2 linked regions of the Oryzias latipes genome follow. The protein of the gene in region 1 interacts with the protein of each later gene in a pairwise test. Links are inferred from orthologs where the notes say so. Each region holds a gene or a part of one and is shown on either strand. Other genes may lie near its edges. The genes, in order: exoc8 and washc1.

Evidence for each region.
Region 2: the proteins of exoc8 (region 1) and washc1 interact in binary tests that used the Homo sapiens proteins (3 or more experiments, as listed by UniProt). The link is inferred for Oryzias latipes from reciprocal best matches to the Homo sapiens genes EXOC8 and WASHC1.

The regions. Positions count from the first base shown.
Region 1 is NC_019882.2:17,525,567-17,529,958, reverse strand, and holds the start of exoc8 (exocyst complex component 8), read left to right. Parts: upstream 1-1,569; 5' UTR 1,570-1,696; coding exon 1,697-2,846; intron 2,847-4,392. Other genes in the region: sprtn (sprT-like domain-containing protein Spartan), read right to left, coding at 304-623. UniProt on the Homo sapiens protein: Component of the exocyst complex involved in the docking of exocytic vesicles with fusion sites on the plasma membrane.
Region 2 is NC_019864.2:19,195,975-19,200,460, forward strand, and holds the start of washc1 (WASH complex subunit 1), read left to right. Parts: upstream 1-1,475; 5' UTR 1,476-1,606; coding exon 1,607-1,614; intron 1,615-2,185; coding exon 2,186-2,326; intron 2,327-2,735; coding exon 2,736-2,847; intron 2,848-2,936; coding exon 2,937-3,083; intron 3,084-4,486. UniProt on the Homo sapiens protein: Acts as a component of the WASH core complex that functions as a nucleation-promoting factor (NPF) at the surface of endosomes, where it recruits and activates the Arp2/3 complex to induce actin polymerization, playing a key role in the fission of tubules that serve as transport intermediates during endosome sorting.

The sequences.
Region 1 (4,392 bases):
TTATTATTTTATAAGCTGCTTGCACTGTGGGGCGAGAGGAAAGTAATTTAATCTGTGCTGTTAATCTGTATGTATGCTGCATACTTGACAATAAAGCTGACTTTGACTTATTGAGCTTTTTCTTCAAAATCTGTCCACTTTATTTGAGAAAAAAAAATTTTTTGCTTTCTCTAAAGCTTTTATTTCCCTGTTTCAACGTTTCCATTAAAAATCCATTGTGTTTTAGTTTTGATCTAAATCGGTGAGGTCAGTTTAGGCTCCGAAACAGCTTAAACCAAATGTCCAAAGTCAGAATAGACTCACAGGGTCATCCTGGGACTCCACTTGACCTCCACTCCGCTGAGTTTGCCCCAGAAGAACATGTCATTGAACTCCAAAAACATGGCTCTAACATCAGGGCTGGGATCCAGCATCTCCCAGGAATCATCCACGATGCTTAGCGGCCGCTCAACGCCGGAAGTTGGCTTTCTATCCCTGGCCCCACCGGCAAGCTCCACTTTCCGCTTTTTGCTGTTGTTTCCGAACTCCCCTTCGTTAAAACTTAGAGATGAAACCAGTGAAGATTCATATTCATGGTCAAACTGCTCCTGTAGCTGAACGGCGAGCAGAAAGTCCTCGTCCATCACTGCTGCTATTTTGCCATTTAGCTTTGGCTAACCCGAACTTCTAAAAACCAATCAGTGCGCCAGTTGTACTACATTTAGCAGTGTAAACTCATAAAGAAAAAAACGAATTTATGTCATCATTTTTTCGCAAAACGGACGCTTAAACATAAAAACGGAAACAATTTAATAAAAAAGAGTAAGAAGCTGGAGCCAACAACTTCCTGTCATCTTCCACAAACCTTCCGGTAATGTTTTATTTTATTTTTTTCACAATAAAACATATTAAAGTTTTTGTTCAAAGTATTTTGAATATCTAAACGTAGGCACGTATGTGTTTTCTTAGTATATTATTAATTGAAATTGAAAGCCGCGTAGCTTTTAAGGAAATTGTTTTTGCATCAATGCAATTTTACTCTGTCTTTTGGTCTAACCTGCTGTCAAGTTCCGCGAAGTCCCGTACGTGATTGTTTTTCAAATTAAAAAAATGAGTTATTAAAGGCGTTTTGGTCCCAAATATGGTTACTTAATCATTTTTGTCTATTATAATGATATGTTTTAAAATTAATTGTCTAAACTAAAACACTGTGATATATATATAACATGGGCACTTTTTTATGCTCAGTATATCAATATATATAGTAAAAAGAAAAATTCAATAGTTTAATTTGGGTAGCTTTGACGGTGATCTTTTTTTTATAATTCAATGTAATTATTTTGTATGCTTTGGTTACCACTTCCGGTAAAGATTGCAAGCATCGCTAGCACAAATATTAGCGATGGGTTCTGGGAACTTTAGTAAACATATATCTGATATTTAAATTAAATTATTCAATTGTTACAATTGAATAAAGTTTACGAATCATAATCAAAAATTTATATTATCTTATGCCTAAAGATAATCAAATAATTTTTTTACGATTTTATTTTTAAACTTTTTCTGATCACGTGACGTTCGGGTGTTGCTGCTTACAGCTTCCTGTTGGAGTGAAAGCGGATGTAAAAGGAGCTTCGATGCACTCGTCTTGTTCGTACATTTCATAGCCATTTTACTAATATTTCGCGTTCGTAAATAATTGCAAACACAGCTAAAGATGTCGGAAACAGGGAACCGGCTGCGGAAACTTCTCGAATCTCCCAATTTCGATCCGCAAACGTACGTCAAACAGCTGTCACAGCAGTCCGACGGCGACAGGGATCTGCAGGAGCATCGGCAAAAAATCCAAAACCTGGCCGACGAAACGGCCCAGAATTTGAAGAAAAATGTCTATAAGAACTACAGGCAGTTCATTGAAACCGCCAAAGAGATTTCCTACCTGGAGAGCGAGATGTACCAGCTGAGCCACATCCTGACGGAGCAGAAGAGCATCATGGAGAGCATCACCCAGGCCTTGCTGTCCACAGACAAGGATGAGACCTCCAAGGAGATGCAGGCTGCTTTCCCCAAAGAGACGGAGGAGGTGAAGCAGAGGGCGCTCACCTCTCTGCTGGAGAAAGTCGAAGGAGCCAAGAACATCATGGACATCCCGGGGAGGCACCTAGTCTACAACGGAGACCTTTTTGAGTTTGACGTGGACAACATGTCCCCCATCCAGAAGGTCCATGCTTTCCTCATGAACGACTGTCTGCTGATCGCCACCTGGCTGCCCAACCGCAGAGGCACCGTGAAGTACAAATACAGCGACCTGTACGACCTGGAGAGCTTCGCCGTGGTCAACGTCAAGGACAATCCCCCCATGAAGGACATGTTCAAGATCCTCATGTTCCCGGACAGCCGCATCTTCCAGGCAGAGAACAGCAAGGTCAAGAAGGAGTGGCTGGAGATCCTTGATGAAACCAAAAAGAACAAGGTGTCTAAGGACAGACACAAGAAGGAAGAGGAGGCTCCCACGTCCCCCATCAGATCTGAGGTGTCCACCAACCCTTTCGACCTGGAGGACGAGGACCCAGCAGATGCAGAGGAAAGCGCAGAACTTGGTATCGAGTGGATTCAGGAGCTCCCCGAGGACCTGGACGTGTGCATTGCCCAGAGGGACTTTGAGGGAGCCGTGGACCTGCTGGACAAACTGAACGAGTACCTGAAGGACCAGCCCTCCACTCAGAAGGTCAAGGAGTTGAGGTCCAAGGTGGACGAGCGGGTGCGACAGCTGACTGAGGTGCTGGTGTTCGAGCTGTCTCCGGATCGGTCACTCCGTGGTGGACCTAAAGCGACCCGACGTGCCGTGTCCCAGCTCATCAGACTAGGTCCTGGTTTGGTTCTTTTCTTAATTTCCAGAGAAACAGAGAAGAGATGATGTTTGACTAACTTCCAAAACATTTTCTTTAGTCCGTTAAAGCCAAAAAAAAGGCAACATTTTTAATTCAAACTTTTATTTAGGAGCATCAATGTCGTTTGTTTTGCAAAAAAAAAAAAAAGTGTTCAAAGCCCACTCTTCTGGATCTGTCAGGCGGGGAAGTGATGTTGAAAAAAAGTTTCTTTTAATTTAATTTTAGGTTTTGAAGGTCAACATTTTAAGGGACCAACCAGTGTAATCCTGCTTTACTCCTGTTTGGGGTAATGGGGTCACTGGAGCTAAACCAACAACTCTTCAGTGAAGGCGGGGTTCGCCCTGGACAGTTCGCCTTCCATCACAGGGCCACACAGAGACAAACAAGTTCACACATTCACACCTAAAGGTCAATTCAGAGTCACTAAAGCTTTAGCCACATGGACCTGTACGGGGGCTGACCTGTACAGGTGCCCTGGGTTTTTGGGTTGTCCAGGTCTGTGGAGGGGAGTAGAAAGTAGACCGGCCAGTTTAAGGCGCATCTTAACAGGAGCACAGGTGTGTCTTGCAGTTCCCTTGAAAATGGAACCTACCATTGTGTATGGTAAGCATATTGTGAAGTATTTGTAAGGCTAACATAAGTTACACGCACTGATAACATACGGGTGATGTTGCCGAACACCGCCCAAACTGCCACACTGTAGTCGTTATTAACCCTTGTGCTATCCAAGGCACTTTAACATTGGGAGTTGGGTCATCTAGACCCACTAGACAGTTCGCTGAACCTTTTTTCTTCAATGATTTGTGATCTTCACTGGTGTCCATGGATTACATGAAATCTTTCCACCTTTATCCACCTTTGTCATGGTAGGGAGAACATGTCAATGTAAGGGTGGGGTCATCTAAGACAGCACAAGGGTTAATGAGTGAGTACTGGTTCCTTACTGACTCCAAGCAAATGCTGACATGTAAGTGTCCGTAGGACAGGACACTCACACAAACTACACCATTATCATCAAATTTCTAATGCTACGTTAACACCAGGCTTGGAAATGCGTGTTTGAGTGACCACTTTCAATGAAAATTCTATGTAAGTGCTCACGTAAAAGCCCGTTTTGGGCCTCCGCGTTCAAAGCTCTCTCGTTGACGCGTCTCTACGCAGGTTTTTAGGTCAGTTTTCAGGCTCTACGTACAAAACACGCAATCGAACGTGTGCTGAAAGTTTAACTAGTTGTACTTTGACCAATCAAGGACTCTGATTTGGTAGTGAGGTATGAGTAGCATCCTTTTCAAAACACTGAATCTTGGAGGTGAAATACTAATTGCGGTTTGTGCCCGGCCAAAATTCTATGACACCAAGGCCTTCCTTTATCAAAATAGAGCTGTGAAAGAAAAAGCCTGGAGCAAGATTGGCACCGCTTCAACATTTCGCAGGAAGCATCTTATAACTGTGCGCTACTATCGGGTAGCGACAGTCCAGTATGAGCACGTATGCTGAAAGTGCGTTCAAGAACCCGCGTTCA
Region 2 (4,486 bases), on another chromosome or scaffold:
GCAGATGTCCGTGTGCGTGAGGATGAGAAGGTGAAATTTTGAATCGTTTCTCTTTCCGAAAAAATGATTCTGTGTAAGGAAAGAGGATGCCACGACAAGCTACTCCCTACTTCTCAGGTCGTTTCCCTCAATTCTTTGCTCTTCCTCTCTCTGCTGAGTGCTGCTGATGAGAAGAGGCAAATCCAGATGTGACAGGAGGGAGGGGAGCGCTTCTAGACGGATGCGTCATTACGCATTCAGGAGAAAAAGCAAGGACAAGGACGCACCCTATGGATACAAATCAGTACTGCATTCTGTTTTGTTTGAATTATTTTTCACTTAACTGGTTACACAAATGATCTAAAAATAGACTATTTTTTATTAGGATATTTTTTAAACAATCATATCAGGGGAATTACAACAAAACGAGGTTTCACTGTCATTTTCTAACGGACTGTTGTGTCTTGAAGGAGATCTGTCAACACTAAGCCCTGATGTCCCTTCATAGTTTTTCTTTATGCATAGTTTTTGTAAATTCCACACCAATCAGACTTATTAACTGAAGTGAATTTGGAGGTTCAATCTACAGTGTTAATGGTCATTAATGAATAAAGTGGGACATTTAATGGGGGATTAGTAACTTCTTTTTAAATTCACATTGGTTTCTTTGTTGTTTTTCATTTATTTTGTCGTTACAATTTACTTTTTATGTCAGAATATTTAATAAATATGCACTGCTAGATTATAGATACTTTATTAACTTTCCTTCTGCTTGCAGTTAAACTATTATGTCAAGGTTGTTTGATCTGAATATGGCTGATAATTTAAATAAAAAAAATAAGAAACACGTTAGCTAAAAGTTTCATCTTTGCACTAAAAATAGCTTTTAATCCATGGTTTGGTAAAGGTTTACTAATATAAACCAAAAATGTGTTAAAGTTAGCAGATGTAGAATAGAATAGAGAGAAAAGAATAGAATAATAGAAATCTAAATAAAACACAAAAAAAAGCAAGTAAAACTTCAAACTAGAAAAACCTCAAAGATTCTGCTCTCCGAAAAAAGTAATTTATGCATAAAGCCTTTGCTGGTGGCAAAGGCTTTATGCATAAAATGAATAAATAAAAAAATAAAATAATAAATAAATAAATAAATAAATAACAAAATAAATCAATAAATAAATACATAAATAAATGTAAGTTCGTCAGTTGCCTAAATATGTAATACACCTACACGAATTAGACATTTTTAAGCAATTTAGATTTTTTCTAAATACGTAATTCATGCTAAGCACTGTAAACGAGTAGACATACCCCCCCCCCACACACACACACACTTTTTTTAAACTACATTTTAAAAATTACAAAAAATTCTGGTATGACTATCTGCACTAGCTGCCTTTACTAAAATGTTAGTCTTGAGGGGGCAAAACTGAACCACTGTGCAAGATGAACTTTTAGTTAAAAAGTTTCCGACACACCGTGAATGCACCATTTAACGCAATGGCGTGGTCACGTGTTGCTCAGATGCGGAAGTGTAAACTGTTTTGCTAAATAAAAAGCTACAGCTATCACCGACAGTCTAGATTGTAATTATTCTTTTAATGAAACTCAACTGTAAATCAAACCAATGGTCAGGTAAGAGGCTAGGTTGTATGACGACGTGGTAATAACGGGTGATGTTCTCAGTTTTTGTGTCGCTCTTTTCCTAATCTAATAATTAGTTTATTTCTTTTTAGGATCATCATGTACTTGCAAATGGTGTTCACAAGGTTTCAGCTAGCCCTACAAAACACCCAAAAAAATAACGCGACGTGTTTGGCAATAAACGGTTGTTGCAACATCATTTCAGCGCCGCTGACTGTCATGTGAGAGTCAAATGAGGATTTATGAATTTTATTTTTTCTTTCAACGAGATGTTAAAAAAAGTCAAATTCCATTTTAGTCCTAAAAAGAATAAAGGCCGTTCACCTGGAACTAGTATAAAGGTTTTGTCCAGGTTATATTTAACATACATTTCTTTGTTAACTCAACTTTAATTGTTTTTATTTAAATTGTTAATATTTCTTTGTGCTAATAAGAGGCCTTAATGCATTCTTTCCTTTGTATCCTAAATTTTACTATTGAATATATAAAGTTAGTTGAAATAGAATAGAATAGAATAGTATAGAGCAACTAACAGTGCTATGGTGTTGCTGTTGTTTTGCAGGATGACACACAGACACTGCCTGGAAGCCCAGGTGTACTCGGTCCCTCTGGTGCAGCCGGACCTGAGGCGGGAAGAGGCTGTCAATCAGATCGCTGATGCACTTCTGTATCTAGAGGCAATTTCCACCGACATTTTTAGAAGGCAAGCCAAAAAACTAACTTAAAAAAAGGGGAAAATCTTTCAAAAGTATGTCAGTTTTGCATACTAATGGACACTAACTTCCCAAAAATTGGTTTTTAATTTCAAAAGTGACTCATTACCGTTACAATATTTGCTGCCACCAACATTGATAGTATTTATAAAAGCAGTACTGAGTGATAAAGCTCTTAAAAAAACAACAACTGTCTGTTGACCTGTTTATTTATTTTTTACCTTGGGTCAAGACATAACTTGAGTTAATGTTTTTGTTATATAATGTCCAAAACAACACATCAATTATTACAATGCATTTTTTTGTCTAACATAAATGGCTAAACCCTTTTAGCACTTAAACAATAATTGGTAAGGATTTCAAATAACTGCATAACCTTCATGCTGGTCCTGCTTGTAGGGTTTCAGAGAGCGTGGAGAAAAACCGCCACCAGCTGCAGAGCGTCTCTGACCGGATCCGACTCGCTCAAGCCAGGGTTGATAAGATTAAAGGCAGTAAGAAGGCCACCAAGGTAACAAAGCCTCATCTTTTTAGATGAAAACTTCTACATTGGAACCATGGTGTGTGACAATTGCAGAAGCAGGTCAAATTGTGTTGCAGGTCTTCTCCAGTGCCAAGTACCCGGCCCCAGAACAGCTCCAGGAATATACATCCATCTTTGCAGGGGCGGCAGACCCTTCCTCACAAAGCTGCTCCAGGCGCAGGATTCAGAGTAAACTTCGGCCTTTTGATGAGAAGGTTCTGCAGGTGAGATGAATGCACAAAAATGTAGATTTCGGTTCAGGTTTTGGCATCTTCTCCCATCATGTGACTGATAAATAGCATCTGCAGTTTCAAGTTACAAGCGTTGCATTGATTTTTGTGGTGCTGCATTCAGAGAAGCAGTCTAACTCACTTAAACTCCGCTGTATCCTGCTGGTTGGAGATTTCCCGTTGTGTTTTTCGCCAGCATGCTTCATGCTATCGTTGGCAAAGAGCAGATCTCACTGTCTCCAGCCGCTGCTGTAACTCTGGCATCTGGAGGGATGTGCGTTTAAGATAAGCCTGAGGGAGAATACCTAATGAGTTTTGAGTAACCATCAAAAGAATCAAAAGTCCTGGTTCCAAGAACGTCAAGTTGTCTTTCCCACATTGAACAAAGCCTGTTTCATCTTCAGGAAGACTTTAAATGCTCTCCATTCAGATACTTGAGGAGGCATTAGCCTCGTTTCCACTGAGCGGTACGACACGGTTTGGAATGGTTTATTCAATTCAGGTGAGTGTTTCCACTCAAAGTTGGACCGTCACGGTGCATTCTGGGTGTAGATTGCCTGCATTGCTTTGCGTCATAGTAGTACGACTACTGCAAAAGCGAAGCTATCAACAACAACAATGGAGTTCATCCAGCATATACAAAGAATTTAACGCTGTTTGACAAAAGATTCCGTTTGGAAACATTGGCGCTGGTTTGGCGCTCTCTTTTATCATAACGACCTTCTGCCAATCAACGAGTTTCTTCGTTTGATGATGGTAGCTCCGCCCTAACCGTTCTATTTCATTTCTGTATGGACCTACAACCCACGGGGTCCCAAAAATTACGGTTCTGTACGGTTTAATGGATCCGTTTTAAAATGGAAATGCTCAACGAGGCTTTAGTGTTCAGCGAGGTCCGTCAAATACTAACAATGTGCAAAATTGAATCAGAACGTAAAAAGAGAGATGTTGGAACCCAACAGGTGTGTACTTGCTTTTTTATAGCAAACAGAAGCTGGTAATAATTCCTACATTTACTTTCAACTTAACTCCTCGAGATTCTTGAATCCCTTTAAACCCTAAATCAGTCTTTTTTTTTTAAAACATTAATGGACACATTTTTTGTTTTTCAACTAGAACGAACTTGTTGATATTGAAAATTATCAGGATATAAAACCTATTTACACTTTAAGATCCACTAGTCTGTGAATGCAAATAAATCCAGCTTTCATTTTCATTGCTTCACTTATCCTCTGCTGCTAAAAATAATTAGGCTTTCTGAGAAAACCCATTCCTGATGTTTCAATATTACAATAACATTTATTGTTTGCCACTGGATGAAAACTTCAGTTATAGTATGAATTTTTTTTATTTTTATATATTTGGGACTTTTTAAAATTATTATTTAAACCTTTCAA